Linked DNA regions of Nothobranchius furzeri. The protein of the gene in region 2 interacts with the protein of the main gene of each other region in a pairwise test. Links are inferred from orthologs where the notes say so. Each region holds a gene or a part of one and is shown on either strand. Other genes may lie near its edges. The genes, in order: histone deacetylase 4, golga2, mcm7, lypla1, yju2, zbtb16a and cyb5r2.

Region 1 (3,937 bases), on a different chromosome or scaffold from region 2:
TGACGTGGCTCTCTTCTAGTTCCTGAAACGGGTGCGTTCATTCGTAATAGACACCGCTGCAGATACAGTTTACATGAGTAAACTACCACTTTACTTTGGGTGAATAATTTGTACCACATGAAAAGTACTTTTTCTTTCTTTTATTCAAGTATTGTATCATAGCGTATACAGATAACACCATACCTGTTTGGTATCGACTTTACCAGGTTTTAGTGCATCATACATCAGCTTCCTGCTGCCTGTGAGGAGACGGATGCACGCACAGAGACGAGTTTCATCAGGACCAAACCTGACCGCTGCAGCCATCCAGGCAGGGTGGTGTGAGACCAATATCCTCTAGCTTCCTAGATAATAAAAGTGTGTGTGTGTGTGTGTGTGTGTGTGTGTATTTGTGTGTGTTAGCGTGTGTGTGTGTGTGTGCGGATGTGTGTGTGTGTTAGCATATGTGTGTGCGTGTGTGAGCGTGTGTGCATGTGTGTGAGCATGTGTGTGTATGAGCGTGTGTGTGTGTGTGTGTGAGCGTGTGAGCGTGTGTGTGTGTTTGCATGTGCGTGTGTGTGTGCGTATGTGTGTGTTAGCATGTGTGTGTGCGTGCATGCATGTGGGTGCGTGTATACAGGTGTGCGAGCATGTGTGTGTGTGTGTGTGTGTGTGTGTGTGTGTGTGTGTGTGTGTGTGTGTGCGCGCGTGTGTGAGCGTGTGTGTGTGTGTGTGTTTGTGTATGCATGTGTGTGAGCGTGTGTGTGTGTGAGAGCGTGTGTGTGTGTGCACCAGTCTAGTCCACAGAGAATTCCAGAAATAGACCACGGATGGTGAGACTCTCGCCTGTTTTTCTCTTTTTTTCCCCTCTGAAGGGATTTCTCGTTATTTTTTAAATCTCAAACCCGTGTTTGTGCTGATGTCTGTACACTTTATGCTCAGAATGTAAATAGATAAATAGGTGTGTGTGTGAATACACGGACCAGGTGCTGTAGAACTATAAATGCTCACAGGATGCAGAGTGAGAGAGTTATTAGTAACAGATTTAGGAGGAGGAGATGGATGCATGTTGATTGTTTTTGTGCCCCCCCCCCCCCCCCCCCAGCTTTTTATAGCCATGTCTTCCCAGGGCTCAGCAGCTACAAAAGCCTTTTCATGTTGCCACTATAATTACAGCCTACACACACATGGACATGCATGCATACACACACACTCGCTGGAGCAGCGTCTTTGTGTTGGTGTGTGCGTGCTCTGCATGTGCAGTTATACACAAAAGGGTGAGCTATTTTTACCTCCCTCCCCTCCCCTCCTCTCCATCGCCTCCTCATCCCTCTCTCCGCCGCTGCTGCTAGCCACATTTGCTATGCTGAGCACAGGCGCTATCAGTCGAGCGCCAACATCTCTCCAACTCGCTCACAAGCGAACACACACACTCACTCTCACTCACACACACCAGCTGACGAGCGCTCCCTCTGAATCCCGGCTTATTCTTTAGCTCCGTCCGAGCATCCCTGCAGACGCGCCTCAGCGTTTGCTGCTCATGGATCAGGAAGCAGCTCAGGGGCTCGGAGGTGCACAGCGGCATGTGCTCTCCACCGTGCAGATGACCTGAAGCCCCTCTCTCTCTCTCTCCCTCTCTTTCTCTCCCACCTTCTCTCTTTCTCTCTCCGACTGGTTTTAACCGCCTGATTAGCAGGTTTGTGGCTGGAAGCCCGGCTCAATGCTGCGGACCATCTTTGAAGCAGAATGCTCTCTTTCTCCCACAGAGGGAATCCTGGGAAAGGAGCCGCCGCTGGAGGTCCTCAAGACGTCGGCGCTCAACCACATCCCAACAGGTTGGTCAATCTGTGTGTGTGTGTGTGTGTGTGTGTGTGTGTGTGTGTGTGTGTGTGAGTACGTGATGTTACTATCAACCACATCCTGTGTGACTTTGCTTTTTGGATGTGAGCGAGCCGGGGACACACCGTCTACTTGACCAGGAGACACCATGTTTACATCCCCAATGTTTTATTTAAGCCGCTCCGGTGCTGCCATTTTGCTGAATGAAAATCTGGAACTCCGAATGTTTGCGCGCACGCACGCACGCACACACACACACACACACACACACACACACAGACACACACACACACACACACACACACACACACACACACACACAGCTAAACAAACCCATTGTGCCTCTCAGTCAGTTCCTGAGTCCGTTTAATGTTCCCAAAACAATCTCTTGCAGCTCCCAGTGCTATAAGTTCCCATTCCCAAGTATTCCTGAATGCAGATCCATGTTGTCCGGTAGAAATTGTACAGGAAAAGTGAGGATGAGGAGAGTGGAGCAAAACCAGAGGGGCACAGATAAGGAAGGATAAATTGGTGTTGGGATAGTGCATCCCATAATTCTGTAATAAGGAAGCTTAAACTGCTCCCAGCTTTTGGTTTTTTGCCTCCCAGGATGGTTGGGTGAGTCTAATTCCTAATTCTGACTCCCAGACAGCAGCCAACGCTCCAGCACGCTGCCGTTTCTGCTCCTAGGTTATTTTTGTTTTCACTTCCTGCTCCTGCCTCCGGCTCAGCTGATAAAATATTGAAATCCACCAGAGCATCTTCATCTGATATTCTCAGAATCTGTTGTCTTGGCTACGAAGCTGCTGGGTGGCATGTGACCCGGACCGCTTCTCCTGCACGGAGAGGAGGGTGAAGCCATCTGGGAGTCTTTAAAACGCCCTGCAGGTGAGGATCACACCTGCAGAGGCCTCCTGAACTTTAGCTCTGTGTGTGTGTGTGTGTGTGTGTGTGTGTGTGTGTGTGTGTGTGTGTGTGTGTGTGTGTGTGTGTGTGCGCACTCCCAGCACGGATCCTTTGCGTAACGCCGTTGTGTGATGTCATTAGAAGGGCGACCACCCCCCCGCCCACTGCAGCTAAAACCTGATTCTACCTGGACAACAGATGAAGTGACTGTTGGCTGCAGGACTTTTCAGAATGAGCCCTCATCTGTGCCACATCCATTAGGGCCTAAGGGGCGGGGCTTAGGCAGTCGGACCGTGGGACCCGGGCTCCACGAACCGGGCCTCCAGTCAGAACCGCCAGCCCTCGACATTGTCTGGTATAAATAGATTCACAGCAGGAGCCAGAAGAGTTGTGGAGAGCGCCGGAGGGGTCGTAAACAGATTGTGATTAGTTTGTGGAGTGTGTGTGTGTGTGTGTGTGTGCGTGCGTGTGTGTGTGAGTGTGTGTGTGTGTGTGAGTGTGTGTGTGTGTGTGTGTGTGTGTGTGTGAGTGTGTGTGTGTGCGTGCGTGCGTGTGTAGGGGGGGGGGGTATGAAGGAGTGCAGGGGTGTGCAGAGGAACCCGCTGACAGGAAAGGTCGCTGAGTTAAAGCAAACGAAAAAGCTGTCAGAATTCCCTCTGAAGGAGATTCCTTTGAATCCCGATGCCTTTTAGAGATTCCCTCTGATCCACAAACGCTCCGATCAGACTCGCAGGAGAAAAAGAAAGTGAAGCGTGTGGATTCTCTTCCCTCTGAGTCTGAGCTAAATCAGGCTGCAGATCAAAGAGGATCTTTTTTTAGACCCCCCCACCCCCCACCCCCCCACACACACCTGTCATACAGGTAAGTCTGCCCGTTGTGTAATGTCTCTGGAGCCCCCGCCCCCCGTTTGGGTCGGATGGCGGCTGCCCTCATGTCGTCCTTATCTCACACACATCAGTAAACTCCAGCTCTGGCTTGACGTCAGTGCTCTGAGACAAAGAGGTGTTCAAATCAGAGTCTATCTGTTTATCAGCGAGGCTTCTGATTGGCTGGGACGTCTGCTGTGGTAACAAAGTTCAGGATGTCTTCAAAAGCAGAAACATCTTCTGATTGGTTCTCATTAGGGACTTTAAGACTGAACCCTCAGGCTCATCCAGACCGATGCAAGGAGCCCTTCGAGACAGAAAAGAGACATTATGAGAGCAAAGGAACC
Region 2 (3,500 bases):
TCAGGACATTGTTTTGGGTCGCTGCTGTAAAAAAAGTGATGCACGAACCGGAAAAGCTTCTGCCGATCACAATTCAACAACGGGTTATGAAAGAACAGATAACGCTCGAAACGCACAGATTCTTCCTGATGTAAGAGGTGAGTCTACTCTTTGTTTTGGTTGTTTTGGTGTTGACATCATCCTAGCGTGCAACGTTCTGTGACTCAAAAAAAAAACGGTGAGAAATGCTGGCAGTGAAAGGCTTTACCGATCAGGAAACGGCTGGCAGCGACTGAGTTAAAAAGCAGCCTGACGCTACTTGATCCAACATGTTTGCCCTCTTGGTGTAATGTATAGTATATCAGATAAGTGTCATCCTCACAACTTGGAACATATTTTTATATTGATCCACAAACAAAGAAAAGAGTTTATCAGACATCTTACCATCTCTTGCTGGCTCTCAAAGTCTTCTGGAATGACAATGGATGAGGACTGTTTAGGGCTCTCCTGCTCCGATTGATTTTCCACTCCATCTCCTAAATTACACAGAAAATTAAATCAAACACTTCACAAAGACCCTTCATAAACACCCCAGGTAACAACTACAAAGCTCCTTTACATGGAGATGTTCAGCATTGCTGCTATTGTAGATCATACTGAATTTTCAGGAATCTTCATCAAGTCAACGGTACATTGTTCTAATGTGAGGACACACACAGAGAAAGAAGAAAACACACCTTGGTCTCTGAACGTCTCAAGGGCCGAGCTGTTAAGCAGCTCCTTAACCTCCGTCTTGAGCTGCTGGTTGTCTCTGACCAACTGTTCCAAATGCTCCTGCAACAGCAAACGCACAACATCACTCAGATACAAACACCTGTGAGTGTGTTGGTATCAGAAAGTGGTCAAGAGGTAAAAACCAGAACAGTAGAAATCAAAAAAGGACATAAATGTCTTATATGCATTTTTACCACTTTGATTTATTCCACGGAATATTCCAGTTGTGTTTTAACATTTTGTTGCAACAAATAGGATTTTATTTGACTAATTTCTCCTTTTATTCTGACAATTGATTCTTATGAAGACATCATGGTAATAAAATGACAAATCTTCCCAATAACAATGAAAATAGGAAATGAAAGTCATCGTCAGATGCCTGACACCCACAGACTTGATGTAAATAAAAGGTCAGTATTTAACTGGACATGGTTGTTTTAATAAGACGATGTTGTTTGTACAGCATGTACCTGTGCTTGTTTGAGCTGATTCTGGCTGATGTCCAGCTGTGCACGGCTGTGACTTTCGTCGTGCTGCAGCCGATCCATGAGCTGGCTCTGCTGCAGATACTGTTGGTGGATCCGTTCTCTCTCTGAGGCCAGAGCCTGGTAGTAAGCGCTGTACTGCTGCAGATGGGCCACCAGCTGATCTCGCTGTTCTAGGAGACCTTGAGTCTCCTGACCCTTCAGCTCCAGCTGGAGGAAAAGAAAGGCAAAAGGATGTCAGCACCACAATGTAGAAGATCCTTTTAAGCCCTACCTCCATCTGCAATTGTGTTAATATAAGCTGCAGAAAAGTGGTGCACATTATAAACTAATGACAGGACAAATGAGTTAGTTTTGTCTCATATTAGTGTAAAAGTGCAGTGAAATGACCTGCTCTTTGATGTTGTGCAGTTCCTCCTGAAGTTCACCCATCCGGCGTGCCAGCTCCTTTTTAACGTGCTGCTCTGACTGGATGGCAGTGGTCAGCTCCATGTTCTCGTTGGTCTACATGATGAAGAAATTTGATTTTAATCTTTTGAATGACACAAACTCACACACGCAAAAGAAGAACATCAAGGAAGACAAACTTACAAAAAAAAATTCTTGGAATCACTGAAAGAGGAAAAAAGAGGAACTACATATCGTAAATCCTCTAATAAAGGCTGGTATTCAATTAAAGGTCGGGTCTCCAATTTTGGCCGGTGTCGGAGTCGGCGGAGGTGAATAATGGCCGGTCTCTTATTGTGGCCGGGTGGAATGTGGTAACAAGCAAGTACAGGGGGCGGTTGTGTCATCGTCTCACTTTTGATTTGCCAGTGATAGACCGCGAGGGTAACTTTAACCGTGCGGAGATGAAGAGGAGGCGAAAATTTGATATCAAGTTCAAAGAGAACGTGCTGATTATGCTGCAGAACACTGGGGAGCAATAGGGGTTGTATGAACTAGTCGACTTCACTATAGGGACTTATGCCTGTCATCGACTAGTCGCTGTCACATGAAAATGACCGTCAAGATGCAGCCCTCGGAAAAGACAGCAGCCTGCTGTCAGCAGGTGACAAGCTCCTGCGCTCGGGGGGGGGGGGGGGGGGGGGGGGCAACGCGCTGTGCCAGAGCGTCGGTACTGACACGCGATTGTTCATGTCAGTTCATTTCCTTTAATGTTTTCTGTCTTTTATTTGCGCCTGATGTGTTTCGCTGTGGAGCGGGGCGCATCACCTTGTCATCCAGTGACGCACCGATCACTGATGCGGCCGCCAAGCAGCGAGCACTCCGCTGTTTTTGCGGTCGGTAGATCTTTCAGAACTGCAGCTCAAAAGGTAACTCATAAGGTGAATATATATATGAACCCAGGTAGCAGTTTTTCTTTAGGACTGAGAGGAGATGCAGGAAGATAATAAACAGACAGGACAGAAAAATAGTCAAATAAAAACAAGTTAGATTTGTACCTGGTGGTTGCAACAAACAGACACCATTGAAGGTAATCAGAAGTGAGGAACAGAAAATGAAATAATTATTTTAATGTTTAGAGCAGCAGGAACTCTGAGAGGCTGCAGGCGCATCAGTGAGTTTGCGGCCGCTGCGCAGGGGGAGGGGGGAGAGGGCGGAAGCAGAAACTACCGTTGTTAAAAGAAATGTGTTTAACTTTGAAAATGTGGGCGCAATTTTAATTGCCAAAAACTCCAGCGAACCATTAGTTCATTTTGCTCAAATAGAAATTGAGGCCTGCCTCTAATTCTGGTCCTCCTTCCAATAAAGGCCTGGAGCTTGATGAGCTTGAGTCAAATACAGGCCCGGGCCTGTATTAGAGGATTTACGGTAATTCAACAAAATAAAAGGTCAGAATTTCAGCCTCACCAGTTTGACAAAGCCGTTCTGCAACTCCGCCAGCTGGTCCTTCAGCGTACGATTCTGGGTGAGAGCCCGGCTTATGGTGGCCTTGTCTGACTGAACATCCTCCAACATGCGGCGGCGGTCTTCTGCCTCCTGGGCTTGGCTCTCCACTTGATGCTCCATCTCCCCCAGACGAGCCTCCTGCTCAGCACACAGACGACTTAGCTGCTCGTTGTCTCGAAGCTGGTGGAAATATACAGAGGGTTCAGATGAACCAAAACCTTCACTAATGACCAAAAACTAAAATATGATGGGACATTGAATTGATTTATGGACCAATATCTTCAGATAAAGCAACCTGATGCCTACCTGAGCCTGGTACTGTGCCGTTAAAGAATCTTTCTCCTGTTGTAAACTAGCGAGAGCTTTCTG
Region 3 (3,995 bases), on a different chromosome or scaffold from region 2:
ATCTTACATCAAAACTTGAGTGGTTTTACCAGATCTTACTGGTTGGTAGGTTTCAGCACCACACTGGTCACACGTGTACGTAGCTACAGCCATCATCGGTTTGACCTCGGTGGCGCGGGTCACGATGCCTCGGACTGTGACCAGATGGCCAATGCTGTCAGCCCGGATATCACGCACCACTTTGGGTTTTGAGGTGCTGGAAGACTTGAAGTAGAGCTCACTGCAGAAACAAGCCACTATAGTGAAAAAAGCCCCAACACACAAGGAAAATTACGAATCTGGTTCTACTCACAATCTCCTCATGAGCTCAGGTGGGTACTGGTTATGTGGATCTCTGGTGTCGGCCGGATCACGACCCCTTTGCTCCATCATCAGCCTGTGCTCAATGTACACGTCCAGGGAATCTTTGGCCACAATCTAAGCACAAAATGTATCTTTTTAGAATTCCTTCAGATAAAAAATCTGAAATGCACTGGAAGCGGATTTAAAAAATGTACTCAAAACTAAGATCTACATACATCTCTTTCCTTGTATTCTGGCAGCAGCTCGTGTATGGCGTCAGCAAACAGGTTTGTGTAGCGTTTTGCATTCTCACAGATACTCTCAACCAGATCTGGGTCTTCCTCAGCCACATCTTCCAGCTCAACAACCAGGGACACCTTCTCCCGGTGGGCCAGCTGCACCTGAACACACAAAACAAATAATTAGTCAAGCTTCAGAAAACAATTACACATGTGCTTTTGTGAGAAAAAAAAACAAAAAAACAACAACAAATGACTACGATATAGAACGACGAGACAAAAAAGAAACAACCTAGTTACAAAACACAAACTAGTTGTCAAAGCAGGAAGATAAACAGAATTACATCACAAAACCTCTTTCCGTAAAAAGCATTCACTATACTCACAAGTTGCACTCCATATTTGAACACCTTCTTCCCATCGTCATCCTCCGTGTAAAACTCCTGCAGAAACCTTTTGCACTTCTCTGAAAACAAAAACACAACAGCTCCACTTTACAAGACTAAATAAAAAGGCCACGTTCACATATGTCCCTTTCCTAAAATAGCAGTATTAAACCCAACAGCAGAGGGCCTGCACACTGGGAGCTAGTTTGTTGTCCTACGACGAGCCCCCCTTTGTTGAGTAACACGGCATCCTGTAATCTCGATGAGTCACTATTGCTACAGTTCAACATAAACTGTCACTGGGGCTCAACATGGAGCGAATGTCGCTCATGTGAGTCTCGTCTCCTAGTTTTAGAGTGAAATAACAAGTACTACGCAGCGTATGGCCCCGGGGTGGGAACGTAAACACAACAGGCGCGCTCAGTTCGGTCCTTTTTTCCCCTTCCTCTGGTAAATATCCCCCCTCACTTCTCGAAGGAGCCACAACTACCAACGATATTTAACTAGGCGCCACGGGCGACGGAACAAGCCTTCGAACTGAACTTAATATTCCACTTACTTTACCGCCGTAGAGGAAATTTGCTGCGTCGTGGGGTTATTTCCATGTTCGAGGATGTTATTGTAAACAAAGCAGCACATGGCTTTTGTGCCCAGTCACTGGAGATATCCCTCCGCGATTCCTCCGCTCCTAGAACCAGTCCCGGTTGTTGTTTTCAAACCGTGGCCAGCCATTTTTTAACATTAGCCCAGGTTAGCTTAGAGTTGTGAACGCAGCAGCTGCGCTGCCTTTTCTAATGTCCTGATGACAGAATCACTAAGCGGCGAGAGGAGGTTTGCTTAATGCTTACCACGAGACGTTTATGACGACTAAGAAATTGCTGCTGGTTAGTGCGTTCGCTGAATTAGACTCGGAACACGACTACGTTCAGGAACTACGCGTGTATACGATTCATTAATACACCACATATTGCTACAGAGCCCTTCCAAACCCATGTGAGTGATCAACATAAACCAAAGCTATAATCGTTTATGCTGAAAACGAATAAGCTGGAAGCAAATATCAGTATTAAAATTCATTTTAGCTAGTAACGAAAAAGCTAACAGCACTGTTCAACCCTGTAAAATCAAAATATAGCCCAGACGGTGCGTTAACGGACACTTGACAAAAAGTACAACATAGTTGGGTGAAGGATTTTCCTTTACTTCCCGACCACATAGATTACCCCTAAACTAAATCATTTTATTTTACACCGACACACGTCGACAGCATAGAGTATAACTTTGCAAAAGTAGTTTTTGAAAGGTCCGACTGTCTGCACTCGTTCCTTGACTACTTATGTACTCTACACGTCTTGATAGTGTGCGCGTTCCCGGATGTGCTTGCACAGTGGCGCCTGTTTCCTTTGTTTAAGGATCCATCCGGGTCACCGGGTAGTAAAGAGCAGACAACGCTAAACTGGTTACCGACGACCCAACGTTAACAAACTCACTGTGAAATACTTAACTAGTACTTCCATTACATCGCTGCTAAATGACGCATATTCGTACACATATTTAAAATGGTAATTTTCTATCTAACTCAAATGGCAATATTTAAAAACGCTAGTGACGTAAACTACTGAAACAGGACATGAACATGTAATTCAACTCTGAAAGACACATACTTCATATAGGTAACATTTATTAAGACTTTCAGTCCAACCTGTTGCTACCACCCATGCTGTTACTGACACACACAGACAACTATTTACCTTTCTCTGCCAGATAATCTTTACGAGCCATGGCAGCACACGTTGATGTTCAGGCGAATAACTTGAAAACGAGATCTTGAGGTGCCCACGTACCTAAACGAGGTTTTTACTTAAGAGTTTAGCAAATTTCTTGCACCGGAGACTTGAATTCATTCACATGCAGCCAGAACTTCTCCCGGTCTCAAGAGTAGAAACTGGCGCCACTCTCCTCGGCCAGCAGCAAATCACGTCGCATCTTTCACGAAGTATGGGCGGGACGTTTTGGTGGCGCGAAAATCGCAGGAAGCTGCGTGTCACATGGTTATGAAAACTTCCGCCGGGGTTTTCCACTAATGGCGCGAAATGTTCTAAAGACAACACAACTCATCACAATGGGTGTTATTTATTGTATGTTACACACAAACAACTCAACACGTTAACAGCAGAGTGCATGCAGACACAGGCTGCTTTGAAACACTCATCAAAAGTGTCTCAAAAACGGAGTAAAATGATGATCAATTTTGGAATGAATTGTCACCACTAACTCGCTTTTCCATTTTATTACAGACTTCGAACCGATAATACTTCACTTTTTATGAACAATTATATAAAAAACACATCAACAAAGCAAAAATGTGTTCAAAATAGGTAGCTTTAGCTTTCATTCGGATAACTGTACTAAACATTTTTAATATCAGTTTTTGCTTTTCATCAGAACATTAACAATTCAATCATTTAATGGCAAACTGCAGCAAGTCAGATAACATGAAGATAAAGATGTAGTCACAGGGATGAACAGGTGGCTGAGATTTCAATTCATGCAAATACTTCAAACACTGATAACATAAAAATGGCATCTGAAAATGGTGGAAGCGTTCCAGTACATCACTCAAAGAGCTCATCCAGGAAACTGGCAGAGGTGTGGCGTGTTGAGGGCTTTAGGGGGAAAATGGAGAGACTGACTGTTTAATCTTACCAGGAATACAATTATTTTATTCACATAGTTTTAAATCAAGTCTTCAGACTGTATTATAACTCCACAAATCCCAATTGAACTCAGATCTTCAAAGTTTTCCTTTATCCAAATCAATCCTAAATTACTAAAGCTAAGATCTATCAGTATTGCTGTTTTACCAGTGTGTATCCAGACTCCAGGTCACTTTCATAATCTTCAATCTCAGGCTCCTCTTCTTCTGAAATGTCATCCTCTATCAGAGAAAGCCTAAGTGGCAAACAGATTAATTAGCTTGTTTAAGAGTTAAAACGTTATTCACAAAAACCATCTTCCCTTTAGTTCTAGACCAGTCTTACATGGTGAGGTGGGAATTCAGATCCTCCTGCTCGTGAGGGGGTGCAGA
Region 4 (4,151 bases), on a different chromosome or scaffold from region 2:
CAGTTTGTGCCAATTTAATGTTGATTTTTATTAAAACAGGGAAAAAAAATCCAGGCTAAAAGCAAATTTCTTAAAACAATCACAAAATCTCTTTATGTAACACATTTATTTTAAATTAAACCGGATTAGTCCTTAACTAATCCAATTCTTATAAATGTCCTATACTGCCCTCTGGTGGAGGAGTAAAGTACTTAATGTGTCAAGTGCCGATTTGTTATTAATAAATTATACAATTACTTAATAAAATAGTAAAAATATAAAATTATTTTCCTACTAGTTACACAAAAAGCTGTCAATTAATGTTTAAAAAATGAAATGTTTTGCCCAATTCTTTCATGCATTAAGCTTTTAAAGTTAAATGGCAGACCAACAAACCTGCTTGCAGACTATTAAAAACATTTAACAAGCCATTTATTGTGAGAATGTTTCGAGAAACCTAAAAGGTATAGCCCTAATGATCATAATACATACTTTTCCTGCCAAAATGGCATGTTTCAATGGCAACAGGCTTGACAATCAAGCAACTACAGTTACTCTGAGTCGTGTGTGTGTGGCTCCAGGTCAGATGCAGGATCGGCTCAGTCACTCCTCTTATGGGTTTCTGTTCTGTCTGAATCTAAGTAGCAGCAGCACGGGTTTACTGTCGACAAAGTCTGTTGTTATCGAGTCCAGCTTGTTTCACAGGAGTCAGAGGACTCCGATAGCTCTGAGCTGGTGAGCGGATGCTCTTCGTTCACTCGTCATGGATGGCAGGAAGCTGCTTCTCTATGAAACGCTTGATATCAATCATTTCCTGCAGAGGAACAAATTGACATTTTAACAATTCAAAGGAATGACAATCAGAGCACTAAGAGTAAGATGAGAGTCTGCAGGCTGACCTCGGGACAGGCACTGTGAGGTAGACCCCGGTATGACTTGAAGGTGACGTTTGAAGGGTTGATGAGCGTTTTTAACTTCTCTGATGTCTGAGTGCCAAACATAAAAGGGACCAGGGGGTCGGCGTCCCCGTGGCACTGCAGGACATGCACGTCCTTGTTTGCACTGCCGACAACCGCCTGAAAATAGAAGAGATTAGGATTGTTTTTATGATCCGATTATGACAGATTATGTTGAACGTTCCTGCAGGATGATTCCATTAAAGAGACAGTTATTGAACGGTGCTTTTCATTCATGTTTTAAATGTAGTTCAGCTTCTACTTTTGACTTTTCTGTTAGATTGCCTTTGTTTATTTCTGCTGCATGACTCGTGAAGCAGTGTTTGTGCTGGTTTCTGTCCTACCTGAGGGAAGGATTTGCGGAGGGGAAGCCAGCAGCTTAGTGCGACCACTCCAGCGAGCTTCTGCTGAGTTGTCAGAGCTGTGTAAAGAGACAACGCTCCACCCTGGACAAACAAACTAGTCCTTCTCACTATTTTTATCCAAAGAGACAACAAACGTTAAATTATATGCAGGCAGAAGGTCCCTTAACACCCCCAGTGCATGGAAAACTACTCCAGAGATCTGATGCAGTGAACATCATAAAATATAGTAAAAAAAAAAAGTTGGCTGCCAGAAATTTTTTTCTTAATATCTTATATATATTTTTGTGGGTTTTGTACGTTTGAAATAAATTAATCAAATGATGGACATCATGTAGGTGTGAATGGCCAACTGTTAAATAACACATTGTGTGTAAAGATGTCTCACGTACCTGAGAGAATCCACCCAGGAGAATTCTGTGTGAAGGTATTCCATTCTTCACTTCTTGATCTATCAAAGCTTTAACTGCAGAGAAATAAAAAAATAATTTAAAAAATAAACTTTAAAAATAAAAGCACAAAGATTTCTACATTTATTTACGGTTCTCTGATGCTCTTTTGATGCCAGCCTCATCTTCATTTGCATCAGGGCTCAACCCATAAATATCAAACCTTTAAATCAGAAAATACGCAGCAGAATCATTATGTGCAGGATTTGGAAATGACTGAAGTCATCGGAAATGTGTGTTTAAACTGCATCACCCACCAAGAAGGCATGGACATCCTCATGTTCAAAGAGACGGGCATCGTGGGGCTGTGGATAAGGGACATTGTAACAGCAAGCTGCATAAATCTTGACTCAGGCTTTGAAATCAGACTTTTCTCATCAAATACTTGCGTTGTGAACCTTAAATACTTACGCATGAGGACAGATGTATTTCACATGTGGTATTCTGATGCCTGCAAAAGCCTCTGCCCAGCCATGCCTGTCAGGTTTCACCCAAAACAACCAGTATAAAACGGCTAATTAAACAGACAAAGCAGTGTGAATGCAAAAAAATGACTTAATTACTTTACTCACCCCGTATCTCCAAGGCCATGCAGAAATATGACCTATAAATAACAATAACACTTATTTTCACTGACAGAGGTTCACACATATCACATTTCGACAGCTTCTGATTTCTAGCAGTTCCATGCTAATGTTTGGGATTTGATCTAAAAAGCACTAAATGAGCTGACAGCTCACCGCTGCAGTGGCTTTTCGGGCAGCAGGCACAATGGTAGGTAAAGGAGCTGACATGTTGTTGCCGCACATACAGCGCTGAGGCAGCTGGACAAGTTAGCTAACAAGTTAGCTCTTCGTAGCTAACAGCAATATAACACAAAAGTGAAGGCCTCCAGATACACAGCAACTGAAGAACGAGCTCCGTCAGACGATGGAGGTCAACGCTTCACCGTCTCTTGTCCTGTCCTTTCTGGGAGTTTAGTTTAGACAGAAATTAGTCGTGGCACTGACTGACAGAAGCTGCTAGCAGCACACCATGCCAGCTGCTGTGACAGGATTTGTAGCCCCGCCCTTTGATTTAAGTGATTGGTTCTCAAAAGCACCCCAATTAACTGCCGATCAGCCACTGGTCCGCTTAAATGTCAGTTTGAGGTTCGCACATAAACTATAACATGCTGTTATTGTTGTTGTTTTCTGTATTGCTGATAATTGTTTTATTGTATATTTAATAATTTTATTTTGTTTTATTAGCAATAAAATATAATAAATTCAAAGAAAATACGGAAAAAATATTGTTAAATAGTATTTATAAATAGTTTTTAAAAGTGGAATGTTTTAGCATATTTTAAAATAATCAATAATAATTTTTCTTCCAATCTCATTGATTGGTCTTTCTTGTGATTTGTCGTCATCTAGTGGCAACATTACAATACGGCAGCAACTTTTTCATGAGACCTTGTACATTTTTTTTAGCTAGTGTTGCTCAGAAATGAAGTAAACGGTCATTTAAAATTGCTATATTTCATATATTGAAATGCATACAAACTTCACTTTTTTCCAGACATTCCAAGTATCGTGCCTTTATTTTGAAACATCACTCCACCGTGAAATAGCTTCCGGTGTGGTGGAGTCACGTGATTAGTTTGCCCTTGGTTTGCTAACTTTAACATGTGAGCTGCAGAAACATGTCTGTTACTAAGAAAACCGGCAGTAAAGCTTTGGATGTTTTACAGAATTTGCCGCGGATCACTTTAGCAAACCTACGACCTGAGCCAGGATCCTGGAAGTGGGTACGTTTGATCCGGTCTCGTGGGCTACATTAGCACTGATGCTAACATGACTAGCATCTGAATAGAGATGGAGGTTAGTAAACGTGATAAATAACCTTATGTGGTTTAAATGGTCTGCAGGGGAGACGACGAGGTAGAGGACAGCACGGCGGTAACAGGAGCGGCCGAGGTCACAAAGGAGAGCGGCAGAGGGGGAACAGACCCCGGCTGGGCTTCGAGGGAGGGCAGACCCCCTTCTATCTGGTTATACCAAAATATGGTTTCAACGAAGGACACAGGTGCAAACTCGTCACCGTGGTTTACATCTGTCACACATCAGTAGATCAGGAAGTTATCATTTAAAAATCTAAAGATCACAAAGCAGTACGTTTATTAGGCAGCAGAACTCATAAATAGCTTAATTCTGGGCTAATTTTTGATATTTCTGTGTAACCCACCAGCTTATAAAACTGTTCTATCACCCTTAAAGCATTTTTGCACTACACAGAAAATACATCACAAACAGGATAGGGAGTTAAGTCATGTTATTTTTCTGTTTTATTTGTTCTTCCTAGCCGGCGTCCACAGTACATGCCCCTGACCCTGAAACGACTCCAGTACCTGATTGATCTGGGCC
Region 5 (4,288 bases), on a different chromosome or scaffold from region 2:
AGATAGATAGATAGATAGATAGATAGATAGATAGATAGATAGATAGATAGATAGATAGATAGATAGATAGATAGATAGATAGATAGATAGATAGATAGATAGATAGATAGATAGATAGATAGATAGATAGATAGATAGATAGATAGATAGATGGTGGTGCAGTTGTTAGCACTATTGCCTCGCACCACAAAGGTCGCAGGTTCGAAACTCGTCTGCGGCCTTTCTGCGTGGAGTTGCCTGTTCTCCCCATGCATGCGTGGGTTTCCTCCGGATACTCCGGTTTCCAAACAGATCACAACATGCCCTATAGGTTAAAAAAATTGTAAGTCGTCTGCTAAGCACATAAACAAAGATAGATAGCTTTTTTTATAAAAGGCTTTAAAAACAGCCCAAGCTGACCAAACACACAAGCAGCAAAACAACCAGTGTCTAATATTTTATGTCCCTGCTATGGAATGTTTAAAAGCAATAAACATCTTTATTATTTTCTATGATTGTCTCAGGGAAATCAGTCTCTATCCGACTCACTGATGAATCATGTTGATCACAAAGCTGCTTGTGACACAGACATAAAGCATCAAAGATATAATCAGTTATCTGGGCTTGAAGCAGGCGGATCTAAGCAGAGATGTTCTGTTTAGCTCTTCAAATACCCCATAGATTGTTTAATTAACATGAACTCTTTTAACCTTTTTAAAGCTTAAATCAGATCTCAGGTCCACACTGACACCAACCTGTATTCAAGATCCAATTTCCTTCTGCACAGATAAACTTTAACCCCTGAACAGTGTTTGACCACCAAACCATTGCAGACACCCCTATTTCTGATGCATAGGGAGAAGCCAAAGGTCATGACCTTCTTCACTGTCTCCAAACAAAGACAGATAACAGAAGGAAGCATGGTTTCTGTACATCAAACAATGACGCAGGCTGATCTAATGAGATAAAGTTTGTCCGATTTGTTTTGGGTGATTTATTTATTACCTAATTCTGAAATGTGTCTGACGTGCCTTTTGGGTACCCAGACGTATTCCAACAATTTGGGATGTGTTAAATGCTGAAATGTCGACATTTTTACATTTAATTTAAAAAAATCTTTAAATCCTTGTTATACGTTTTGTAAATCCCAAATAAAACACATTCTCTACACTCACCGAGGTGTTTTGCTTAAATAATCACCAAATGAAATTATTTTATTTCATGCCAATGCCAATCCGACCAAATTATCTTTCTCATTCCTTTTCCCCCCAATTTCCCTGATTTTTATTATCATCGTTTTGAATCTTTTATTTTGTTTGTTTCTTGTGAAGCGCCTCGTGATTTTCATCTAAGAGCTATATTTATAAAAACTCCTTTCTTCTTCTTCTTCTTCTTCTTCTTCTTCTTCTTCTTAGATATGTATATAAACGAGTAAACACGTGTTTGTAGTTTATGTTTCCATGGACATGATATCTATGGTCGTCGTCGTTCCACAAGGGGGCAGCATCGCCTTTTCAAAGGCGGAAGTGACTAAACAGAGAAACCGGAAGTTTACAGTGCTATCACTAATAGTCAACGTTGCGTACTAGTTTCTAAACCTTTAAGATATCTGTACTTTTTATCACTAACAAAAGTAAAAAATGTCTGAAAGAAAAGTTCTGAACGTAAGTAATCATAACAGAGTGATGTTTTTACAAAGTGGATCAGAAACAGAGTAATTTCCGTCTTAATAGATAACGAGAACAAGCTAACATTAGCAGTGTTGATAAATAAACGAGACGTGTTGACGTTTGTAACTTTTAATGAGCGTAACCTATAATGAGTTTTGGATTAAAAAGTTTTTTTTAGATTCATTACATGTTTACGGCTTTGTCTCTGATAATTATTTAACTTCTGCTTTTACTTCCACAGAAATATTACCCTCCAGACTTCGACCCGTCCAAAATCCCTAAACTTAAACTCCCAAAAGATCGACAGTATGTGGTCAGATTGATGGCTCCATTCAATATGAGGTAGGTGTGTAAATGAGTGCGTTTAGTTTCATTTGGTGGGACAATACAACCACTTTCAGAGCATGATTCCTACAGTTTGATTGTTTCTTCACACAAAATCTTTCTTGTTCACATCTTGACTGTGTTTTTACTCCTGATTTTGGTTACTATTGTTGTCACATGATGTTTTTATTGGTTTGAGGTATTTGCCCTGATTTTACTCATGTTGTACAGCGCTTTGTGATTTATATCTGTGAAAGGCGCTACGTAAATAAACTTTACTTACGTACTTACTTACTTACTACAAAATGTATACAATAAACTCAGTTGTTAAGATTAAACGTAAAGGTCTAAGTTTAATTTTATAAATGAACACTTTTCCTTCTGTGGCAAGGTAGAGAAACGAGGGCCCGGGTGGGATTCGATCCCCAGACTCCCAAGTGAGAGTAACGCACGCTAAACAGTCAGCCAAAGCCCTTGGTGAAGTAGCCAGGGCGCATGATCAGTCGAGACACTGTGACAGGACGCTCACACTGCCACACTTCATTTATTTAGTTTGTTCCCCTATACGTCTATTTAAATCAGAAATCCTGGTTCATTGTGTTTAGGTTAAAACCTGATTATGCTTTTTTATATCAGACTGAGGTTTCTTAATGAGATGTATGCATGTTTAAACGCAGGTGTAAAACATGCGGTGAGTACATCTACAAGGGGAAGAAGTTCAATGCACGCAAAGAGACTGTCCAGAACGAGCACTACATGGGACTGCCAATCTTTCGTTTCTACATCAAATGTACTCGATGTCTTGCTGAAATAACATTTAAGGTGAGGTATTATTATTGTCACAATAGCACTGTTGCAAGCTGCTTTTACTGTTAGTAATCTGCTAGTAACATATCCACATACGCCTATGTTTTGATTCTAGACTGACCCAGAGAACACGGATTATGCCATGGAGCATGGAGCAACACGCAACTTCCAGGCAGAGAAACTTATTGAGGAAGAGGAAAAGAGAATCCATCAGGAGAGGGAAGACGAGGAGCTAAACAACCCCATGAAGGTTGGTGTTTTAAATGTTTGTTCTTGTTTTTCAAATTAGTGTTCTGAACAGTTAAGTAATGTTTCCCTAATCCCCTTCAGGTGCTGGAGAATCGCACTAAGGATTCCAAGATGGAGATGGAAGTTCTGGAAAACCTCCAGGAGCTGAAGGAGCTCAATCAGAGGCAGGCACAGGTGGACTTTGAGGGAATGATTGATCAGTACAGAGAACTGGAAAAACGGGAGAAGGAAAGAGAAAAAGAAGAAGATGAGCGTGAAACAAAGTGAGTGAGAACGGCTCGTGTATCATTTGCACGTCTAAATGAAAAGTCTGTTTGCTTCTTTGCTAAACATTCAAATATTGCTTTGCAGAGAGATGTTGGAGCGGGTGCTCGTGAAAAGACTGAGAGACTCCGACTCTGATTCAGAAGAAGAAGAGGAGAGCAGCAGCCAGTCAAAGACTGCTGGTGCAGACAAGCCGACAGATATCCTCACCACTGATAAACACGAGGAAGCACAGGTTTGTACAGAGTCTCATATATGTAAAATATTGGGTTATGGCTTATTTTGGCTGTTTTTTAAAAGTTATTATATAAATATTAAAAGCTTAGTATTAAAATCTTCAATTTCTTTATGTAGTTAAAAAAAATCTAAGTTTGATTGTAGAAGGTTTTACATCATTTTAAAAGACTGACATGGGTGGAATAAAGCTTCCTACAGCTCAAAATGAACAAACATGACAAAAACCAAGCTGCAAGCAGCGAATAGTGGAATATTTGATGCATGTTTCCGCAGGGGTCCTCATCCGGGGGCGTGAAGAGGGCTAAGGTAGAGAGCTGGGAGAGGAGTGTTGGGACGCTGGGAGGCAAAGGAGCTCTCAGCTCTCTGGTAGTACGAAAGAAACCAGCAGCGATGATCAGAAAACCGAGTACAGAGGAAGCTCCCCCTGCCTCAAAAACAGGTAAAATTTTTGTGTTGACGATCATTCTAAAAGCTCAATAGCTTAATTATTAATCTTTTATTCCACATTAATGTAATTTATTCACAGGTTCAAAGACATCAACAACCGACACCACCAACGCTTCTAAAACCGGCGCCACCCCAAATGGGTCATCATCTCTCAGCCTGCTGGGGGCGTATTCAGACAGCGACAGCAACGAAAGCGAGTGACTGAAACCCGGCTGGCACAGAAATAATGCAACAGGGAACATGATGGAATAGAATTATTTAGTGAAATTGTGTAATTATTGGTGGGTGTGTATTAGAAGACATATTTACAT
Region 6 (3,500 bases), on a different chromosome or scaffold from region 2:
GAGCCGCGCATCTCCTCTGGTGGTCGGTTCTGACCTGGTTCTGATGGTGATCTGAGCTCCAGAAATCCACATTTAATTTTTTAAACCCCACCACGGGGTCTCCGGAGCCCAGCGCGGACCTTTCTGACCCGGTACCGACCGATGCGGGCTACAGAAGTCCGTCGTTTCCTCAGGCACGGAGATAGAGAGGTTGTTTCTCTGATCTGGAAACCCGGGGACTCGATGTCCAGACGGGCTGGCGTCGGTGCAGCCTTCACACACACTCTAGTTTACCAACATGAGCACAACCAACACCAGTGAACACACACTGACTGGATCACATGACCTCTCTACCCTAAACTAGCCGCTCTCCACGCCGAGCGGAGGCAGCCGAGCGTCCGACTCCCTCTGGTTACGTCAGAGGTTCACGTTTAGAAACACGAGCCTTTTAGTCGCTTTGCTGAGAAAAAACACTTTCTACTAGAAAACTGCTGTTGTGTATTTAAAGTGAAATATCCACGATAACCATTTCAAACAGGATGTTTTTGGACAGCATTTTATATGAATTAGAAAAAATTAACCTGCAGTTTGCTCTTTAAACTCAGCGATGGTGATTTTCTCAACAAGTCTCCAGTTCTCCCTAGCAACCATGTGTGATTGGCTGTTTAACAGCAGCTCAGGGCTGGGAGTGATGTTAGTGAGTTTGTTGGGGACATGCACTGTTTAATGAGAGAGTGGTGAAAAGCAACAGTGACACATTGAAAGTAAGTAAAGGTATATTGTGCATATTTTTACATCACAGACTCTGGATGAGCTGTCGCTGCTCGTGTCGTAGAAAGAAAGGCCCGTTGTTTAGCTGAAGCAGACGGATTCAAGAAAAAGATCACGTGTAACATCTTCTGTGGACAACCAGCAGACCAAGTTGAAAAACCACATTTCTGATAGTTGGAGGAGACCAAACCGTGAGGCCGGATGACGGGCGAGGCCACTGACCTGTGTGCGAGCGGAGGTGGCGTTTGAGTGCGGTGTGGCTGGGGAAGGTCCGGTTGCACTCGCTGCAGATGTAGCTGCGGACGCCGGCGTGCACTTCCATGTGCTGCTGCAGTGCTGTCTGGGTCTGGAAACGTTTGCCACACAGTAGACAAAAGATGGCCATGTCTGACCCTGCACAGGAAAGGAGGACGACAAAGGTTAATTAGAGGTAGATGCTGGGCGACAGTCTGATAGCTTTCTTTTTATCTTCCTGTTTCAACAATCACAACTTCTGAGAGGAAAACGTCGCTCTGGAACGAGCCAAGGTTGCTAAATCTCCCAGCAGCGTGTTGCTACCGAGCCACAGTGATAACTAACTGAATCACACGAGGTTGTGTGTGCGCTCGCAGCGATCAAGCCACAGGATATTCAACAGTGCATGCAGAGGCAGACTTTAAATCTCACTCACTTCCTCTGCAGACTCACACGAAGCATCCTGTATTTATAGGATTAAAGTTGTACACAATTCTCATGTTTCAGGGGGGGGGGGTGCAGAGATAAAGATCTCCTATGCAATACTTCAATCGAGTCTCGACTCCAAGCGAGCACGGTGCATTTTTCTCCAGCAGAGATGAAGAGCACACAAACAGTCACAGACACTCACGCAGGGCTGCACTCCGCCTTCAACACACTCCCCTCACACTTTTTCAATTACCAGGCTGGGGGAGAACTCTGGGGAAGGACCGAGTGTTTGGAGCTCAGTTTCTATTTCATCAGTCAATAACACATCTTTGGGCCAGCGCTGACACTAATTTAAAAATCTATGAAGAGCAGCACCGCCTCATGTTCATAACCACTGGAGGAGGAGGAGGAGGAGGAGGAGGAGGAGGAGGGCTCACACCAGACCAAGCACTGTCTCCACAGCTCTACATGCTGAAGAACGCAAATGATGAGGGTAGATGTCATAGGAGGAGGGGTGGCAGCAGGTAAATACGGGAGTTTTAGTTTGTGAGGAAGACTCAAATCTTGCAGGACTTCATATCTTCTCTAAGTAAAGGAGGCTGCATGAGTGGAACATCTTTAGGTCCTCTGTGTTTGAAAAGCTTCCAACAGATCCAGCGACTCGGTCTCATACAGGCAACACGGTGGTGCAGATATTATTTAACAGCACCTGATCAAACGGTGTTCAGAATATTTCTCACAGCATGATGCAGGACTACTGGTCAGAAGCCAAACCACCGTTTTTCCAACTTGTTCATCTTTAGTCTGAAAGAGTTTTCCAAACTGAGATTTTTAGCTGTGATCATAAACTCCATCCACAATATTCCAAATAAAGAGGATTTTCAGCTGCGGTTGCACTTCTCGGTTAGTGTGAAAACTGTTTGGGACGTTCAGAAGAGCGTGGCCGCCACTACTTTGTGCCTTAAACACAAAAACAGAGCCAGTTTTAGACTTTTGTCTCTATTTTGTTAGACCATAACAGAGATGGGAAATGTGGCGTCAGCAAGTCAACTCCACTTGAAATCACCTGGTTTAGTCGCTGAACTGAAGAAACACACGGCATGGAGAAGACCTGTTGATGCCACAATTCCACATGTCTGGACCTCAGTCGTGTGTGAAATGGTGAATAACTGAAAGGAAATTTTAAATAATATTGGATAAATCAGAATTTTGGGCCAATTCTCAAAGACTGAGTTTAGTTTATTCAACACTATTGATGCGGTCTCTAGCATAAACAGATGCCTCGGGAAAACCGCTCCAGAAGAACGTGAGCCAGTTCAGTGGGGAGCAGAACACGACGGGATTCGGAGTCTTATTTCCTGATTATCTGACATCTCGCCTCTGATTGGCTAACAGCAACTCAACTCTACCACTGTGTTTGCTTTGTGATGTTGATGTTTTATCCTCACAAATAACACGAGCATGAAGGAGTTCTGTCCTGTTGTGGCGTTGCTAATGCTAAAGGCGAGCTTCTATAAGCCGAGACACCCTCTGCTCTTTCCTGGACACTAGGGTGTTTCTCAATGTCAAGGCGCCTGGCTGAGCAAGACATCGCCTTGCTGACGAGGACACAGTCCTTCTTTGGTTGAAAAAACTGGGGCAGGGCCGAGGCATCATCCCTCCTTGTCCCGAGTTAAGATGGGCGAGTCCATGAACTTCTCATCTCAGCATTGCCTCTCTTTTCTATCAGCAGGTAAGGACTATTTTCACATCTAGACTGCATTTTTAACTCCGTGTCTGATCAGACTTAACCTAAGTAAAAGAAAAAAAACGGTTTCTCTTCAATAAAAAAACATTCTAATTATTTTTTAAATATTAAAAATGATTAATGTAGTATTTCTTGCCACCTATTAGAGCAGAAAACATTTCTAGAGGCGTACGCGAGGCCCAAATGTGCTGACTGATTTAATCTTTCAAAAATGTAGAAATTTATTTTCTGATGACCATGTTTCAGTCTCACTGAAGAGATTGATGTAATATTCCAGGTTAAGATTTAATGACCAGATTTTGTAGGCTTGATAAAAAAATAACAATCTCCCTAAAAAGTA
Region 7 (4,233 bases), on a different chromosome or scaffold from region 2:
ACTCACTCTGGAGTTTGGACGGTGCTGTCTTGCCATTCGGGAACTCCGGGTTTACATGAAGCTAAAGCCGTGGCTAACAACTTCCTGCTACTCATTGATATTAAAAAGAATAGACCCTGCAAAGGCCGCATTTGAAATGCGATTGCCACAGGCAGCTGAGATCGGTGCGGCACACTTGATAGTTTTGCTTGCTTTTAGCACCCCCTAGTGTCCGTTGTAAATAGCTGTTGTCAAAGCAAAAGTGAAACTTAATCTCCTTCAAGTGGGTTCATCTTTTTAACACCTTAATCTAACTGCTCCTCCGCCTTCGTTCGTGTCTATGGGAGAGGTTCATCTCTAAATGAAGCAAATCAGCCGAGTTTAAGATCTAAAACAAGCAGGAAACAGGCTGGAAGCAGACTGCAGTGCCAGGTATGTCAGCTCAATTGTTTCTAAGAGTAACAGGTGCTGGACGGGCACTCTGAAGTTGCAAATGCAGTCTTCTGGCCACAGTGGGGATTTGAGTGACACTTCCTTAAACCTGAAAAGGGTCATTTTAGCACATATTGGCTGAAGAAAATTATTTAAAATTATGAATAAGTTGTAAAGTATCTCTTTAGTGTCTATGCAGTTAATGACAGACCTCCTGGTGTCTTCCATTTACTGGTTGTGCAGCACATCAGCCTGAAGGTCAAAGGTGACAGATCATTTACTGCTGTGGCCCCCAGACTCTGGACCTCTCTCCCCCTGAGCCTGAGATCAGTGGACTCAGTGGTCTCCTTTAAAAAGCAGCTGAAGACTCACCTGTTCAGGCTTTGGTGTGACCTTCATCACCACCCTCTCCTTATTCTGCTCTTTCTACCAATTCTGCTGCAGCCGGGATCTACTGATTCTCTCTTTCTCGTTCTTTTTCACTTTCCTCACATTTTTACTCACAATTTTTACTTTTCCCAATTATATGATTTAAAATCATTTTTATATATTAATTTTGAATGTTTGTTCTTAGGCGCCTCGTGGTTTTGATCTTGAGAGATACTATAAAAGATTGTTTCTTCTTCTTAACTCAGAAGACAAACAACAACTTCATTTTAGATGCACCTTGACAAGCGTATCTTGTAAAATCTTGTTTACTTAGTGAAGTGCATTGAGACGACTCTTGCCGTGATTGCCGTGTGTGTGTGTGTGTGCGTGCGCGCGTGCGTGCGTGCGTGCGTGCGTGTGTGTGTCTGCTCTGTCTTCTTGATCCCCAGTGAGTCGTGGAGGATGGCTGTTTATACTGAGCCAGGATTCTCTGGAGGTTTCTTCCTGTTAAAAGGGAGTTTTCCTCTCCACCGTCGCTGCATGCTTGCTTAGTATGAGGGTTGCTGTATAGTCACTGGCACTAGTCAGTGACTTGATGCAGTTTGCTGGGTTCCTTATATAGGAAACATTATTTCTGATTGGCTTAATGAACTGACCTGAATTGGAATGTTTATTATGTGAAGTGCCTTGAGACGACTGTTGTCGTGATTTGGCGCTTTATAAATAAACTTGAATTGAATTGAATTGAATTTGATGCTTTAGAAATAAACTGAACTGAATTCAGATCAAACACATTTCCACCAGCTACTATTGTTGTTAGGAAGTGCTGCTATATTGAAACTTAAAGTTGGATTAGAAACAAAAAATATGATTTTGTTTTTAATTCAGCTTTTAACAGAATACTAAATATTTTGTGGTATGTTTGTATTTTTTTGTTTGTTGTACTTTTGTTTATAAGCTAATAAAGAAACAAAATAAAATCCATATTTTTACATTTTATGCAATAAATGAGGGATTTCTTTACCTACTGGCAGTCCAAGGACATGAGACGCAGACGGAAGGCCAAACCGAAATTTTTTGGTGTCATGGCTGATTTCCTGCAGACAGAAATGTACAAACAAGAAGATGACTCCCATCTTTTTTTCTGCTAAAGTCATTATTTATTCTAACATGATTAAATGAAAACCACCTGTTTTAAAGCTCCTCGGCTCAGGCTGCAGCCTTTAGCCCCTCCTGCAGCTGCCACAAGCGCTCAAATACAGGATCCAAAATTATGTTCATATTAATTTAATGTGTTTTCTCATCAAAAACGAGTCACAAGGGCTCTAAAGAAACAAATTTGATCATCTGGCATCACTAAACCTTGTGTGTGACTTTAATTTGATTTCTGGCAGCTGCAAACCTGAGAATGCCGCCAATAGAAGTTGTTAATGTCCTCGCTTTGCATTGAATTTTCAAAAAATGAAGCAAGTCATCTTCTAATTTATGGTAGTTTTACCTCTTCTTTGACTGATGTAAGTGTGGAGCTTCTTTAAGGTGCTTTGTTTGCTTCTCACCTGTTTGCTGATGAGAGGAAGAGGATATTTCACCATAGGATCCTGAAGAGTTACCGGCCCCTTCTTCTTCTTCTTCTTTTCTTCTGGAGAGTCTCTCAAGAGGGCGAACACCGCCGTCACCACCACAACAAACAGGGCCAGTACTACTGGGATTGTCTGCAGGACAAATGTCACATTAAATGAGACCAGCTGTGGTCCAGTTCTGCAGAAAACCAAACATTTTTACAGGATTTGAAGCATTATTGCAGCTAAATAACAAAAACTTAATTCAAAGTCAAAAATTTTATTATAATAAAATGTTATTTAATGTAAAAAAAGACCTGTACTCACCCAGGTTAGTTCCATAGCTGAGCAAAAAATGTAGCGTGACAGAGCAGAAGACCAGAGTCTAGGCAATGAGGAGCCCGCAGGCACACACACACACACACACACACACACACACACACACACACACACACACACACACACACAAGGGGGCAAGGCTCACGCTGGGGAAAAGGTGACAGGTCCAAAGCACCAATAAAAAGCAGGTCTGACGGTGACGCTTGACTCGGAGGTGGTGCTCAGGAGGCCAGACCAGTCTTGAAATGGCACCACTGATAAGAGGGGAGGAGGAGAGGTTCTTTGACCCTCAGCAAGACGTGATCAAACCAGTTTGGAAGAAGCGGACACCAGTACACGTCCTAATGTGACTAGTAAGCTCTCAAGAGTGAATTTTATCAGTGTAGAAAATATGAATAATCATCCAAACTGGTGGATCTTTGGAACCTGCTGGTTTAAAACTTCCACTAAATCTCTGCATTATTAGAAATTAATGCAATATAAATGTTTAAAAGAAACAAAAAAAAGTCTAAAGATGCAAAATTTTAAAAAAAATTGATTTTAAGGTCCTTGACTCGTTTTTGATCAGAGCTCTGAATAAAAAATTTTCTAACAGAAAAGCATCAATGCATAAAAATGTAATAGAAACTTGCAATGGTTCTTCTTTCACCAGCTTGATGCTCTCTCTGCTCAAAGTAAAACATTTTAATTCGTTTTTTTAGAAAAACGAGTACCTGTTGGTCAGAAAAAATCATTACCACTTCAGTTATTTTAAGAATTCTTCAACTTTTTATAACTTAAAAAAAATCCTAAACAATTATACAAGTTTAACAAAGTGAAATGTGCCTTCCCAATCTGTGGATCATCCACTAGAGGGCAGTAGACTAGCTATGCTGTTAGCACTAATTTATAAACTGCAGTAAACTCTAAAATGTATATTTTAATTTGGAAGAATCTACAAGAAGCGTTCAACCTTGTGTGTGTGTATGTGTGAGTCTTAGATGAAGTGTGGTATTTATAGATCTGAAGCTGATAATTAATAGTTTTATATATGACATTTAGATTGAATATTACAAAAGGAAGAAAGAAAATAAAGCTAACATCTGAAGCCGCAAGTAATAATGCAATTAGAGAGTAGTGATAGAAGAAAGTAGCAGAGTGTGGAAAGTGGTCAGTATGTCCTCCAGCAGTCTAAGCCTATAGCAGCATACTTCGAAGATAACCCACCCTTTTAGGTGGAGGCATGTGGCAGGCAGGGCCAGGGAGAACCGTCTTTACCGCCTGTATTCGGCTGCTGTACACTCCAGCTCCCTCTACTCCCCCATTCGTTTAAACCTGGGCTAACATCAGAATTTAACCATAGGCACTATCAAATGAAAATGTTTTAAGCCTAGTCTTAAAAGTAGACAAGGTGTCTGCCTCGTGGACTAAAGCTGGGAGCTGGTTCCACAGGAGAGGAGCCTGATGACTAAAAGATCTGCCTCCCATCCTATTTTTAGATGATCGCGAAACCACCAGTAAGAGATGTCTAAGCTGCAGCTGTTACACACCTGCTTAGACTCTATCAGAACCTGGA

What was found.
Region 1: the proteins of golga2 (region 2) and histone deacetylase 4 interact in binary tests that used the Homo sapiens proteins (3 or more experiments, as listed by UniProt). The two-hybrid records come from large-scale screens. The link is inferred for Nothobranchius furzeri from reciprocal best matches to the Homo sapiens genes GOLGA2 and HDAC4.
Region 3: the proteins of golga2 (region 2) and mcm7 interact in binary tests that used the Homo sapiens proteins (3 or more experiments, as listed by UniProt). The two-hybrid records come from large-scale screens. The link is inferred for Nothobranchius furzeri from reciprocal best matches to the Homo sapiens genes GOLGA2 and MCM7.
Region 4: the proteins of golga2 (region 2) and lypla1 interact in binary tests that used the Homo sapiens proteins (3 or more experiments, as listed by UniProt). The two-hybrid records come from large-scale screens. The link is inferred for Nothobranchius furzeri from reciprocal best matches to the Homo sapiens genes GOLGA2 and LYPLA1.
Region 5: the proteins of golga2 (region 2) and yju2 interact in binary tests that used the Homo sapiens proteins (3 or more experiments, as listed by UniProt). The two-hybrid records come from large-scale screens. The link is inferred for Nothobranchius furzeri from reciprocal best matches to the Homo sapiens genes GOLGA2 and YJU2.
Region 6: the proteins of golga2 (region 2) and zbtb16a interact in binary tests that used the Homo sapiens proteins (3 or more experiments, as listed by UniProt). The two-hybrid records come from large-scale screens. The link is inferred for Nothobranchius furzeri from reciprocal best matches to the Homo sapiens genes GOLGA2 and ZBTB16.
Region 7: the proteins of golga2 (region 2) and cyb5r2 interact in binary tests that used the Homo sapiens proteins (3 or more experiments, as listed by UniProt). The two-hybrid records come from large-scale screens. The link is inferred for Nothobranchius furzeri from reciprocal best matches to the Homo sapiens genes GOLGA2 and CYB5R2.

Annotation. Positions count from the first base shown.
Region 1 is NC_091754.1:47,244,973-47,248,909, reverse strand, and holds the start of histone deacetylase 4, read left to right. Parts: upstream 1-1,137; 5' UTR 1,138-1,699; coding exon 1,700-1,814; intron 1,815-3,937. UniProt on the Homo sapiens protein: Responsible for the deacetylation of lysine residues on the N-terminal part of the core histones (H2A, H2B, H3 and H4).
Region 2 is NC_091746.1:54,872,945-54,876,444, forward strand, and holds part of golga2 (golgin subfamily A member 2), read right to left. Parts: coding exon 3,438-3,500; intron 3,312-3,437; coding exon 3,093-3,311; intron 1,743-3,092; coding exon 1,629-1,742; intron 1,449-1,628; coding exon 1,224-1,448; intron 814-1,223; coding exon 717-813; intron 516-716; coding exon 424-515; intron 1-423. UniProt on the Homo sapiens protein: Peripheral membrane component of the cis-Golgi stack that acts as a membrane skeleton that maintains the structure of the Golgi apparatus, and as a vesicle thether that facilitates vesicle fusion to the Golgi membrane.
Region 3 is NC_091741.1:79,972,599-79,976,593, reverse strand, and holds the start of mcm7 (DNA replication licensing factor MCM7), read right to left. Parts: upstream 2,801-3,995; 5' UTR 2,690-2,800; coding exon 2,659-2,689; intron 2,260-2,658; exon of another isoform or gene 1,467-2,259; intron 988-1,466; coding exon 908-987; intron 684-907; coding exon 519-683; intron 418-518; coding exon 293-417; intron 221-292; coding exon 40-220; intron 1-39. Other genes in the region: cohesin subunit SA-1, read right to left, coding at 3,523-3,573, 3,772-3,859, 3,949-3,995. UniProt on the Homo sapiens protein: Acts as a component of the MCM2-7 complex (MCM complex) which is the replicative helicase essential for 'once per cell cycle' DNA replication initiation and elongation in eukaryotic cells.
Region 4 is NC_091747.1:46,195,701-46,199,851, reverse strand, and holds the start of lypla1 (acyl-protein thioesterase 1), read right to left. Parts: upstream 2,801-4,151; 5' UTR 2,556-2,800; coding exon 2,487-2,555; intron 2,351-2,486; coding exon 2,319-2,350; intron 2,224-2,318; coding exon 2,158-2,223; intron 2,052-2,157; coding exon 2,004-2,051; intron 1,910-2,003; coding exon 1,839-1,909; intron 1,764-1,838; coding exon 1,690-1,763; intron 1,382-1,689; coding exon 1,280-1,381; intron 1,056-1,279; coding exon 879-1,055; intron 794-878; coding exon 734-793; 3' UTR 1-733. Other genes in the region: mrpl15 (large ribosomal subunit protein uL15m), read left to right, coding at 3,431-3,535, 3,656-3,813, 4,090-4,151. UniProt on the Homo sapiens protein: Acts as an acyl-protein thioesterase. Hydrolyzes fatty acids from S-acylated cysteine residues in proteins such as trimeric G alpha proteins or HRAS.
Region 5 is NC_091758.1:25,015,582-25,019,869, reverse strand, and holds the start of yju2 (splicing factor YJU2), read left to right. Parts: upstream 1-1,488; 5' UTR 1,489-1,619; coding exon 1,620-1,643; intron 1,644-1,890; coding exon 1,891-1,991; intron 1,992-2,650; coding exon 2,651-2,795; intron 2,796-2,895; coding exon 2,896-3,030; intron 3,031-3,110; coding exon 3,111-3,292; intron 3,293-3,380; coding exon 3,381-3,528; intron 3,529-3,803; coding exon 3,804-3,969; intron 3,970-4,056; coding exon 4,057-4,178; 3' UTR 4,179-4,288.
Region 6 is NC_091750.1:30,346,090-30,349,589, reverse strand, and holds part of zbtb16a (zinc finger and BTB domain-containing protein 16-A), read right to left. Parts: intron 1,144-3,500; coding exon 973-1,143; intron 1-972. UniProt on the Homo sapiens protein: Acts as a transcriptional repressor. Transcriptional repression may be mediated through recruitment of histone deacetylases to target promoters. May play a role in myeloid maturation and in the development and/or maintenance of other differentiated tissues.
Region 7 is NC_091744.1:84,976,166-84,980,398, reverse strand, and holds the start of cyb5r2 (NADH-cytochrome b5 reductase 2), read right to left. Parts: upstream 2,801-4,233; 5' UTR 2,682-2,800; coding exon 2,667-2,681; intron 2,493-2,666; coding exon 2,337-2,492; intron 1,878-2,336; coding exon 1,805-1,877; intron 1-1,804. UniProt on the Homo sapiens protein: NADH-cytochrome b5 reductases are involved in desaturation and elongation of fatty acids, cholesterol biosynthesis, drug metabolism, and, in erythrocyte, methemoglobin reduction.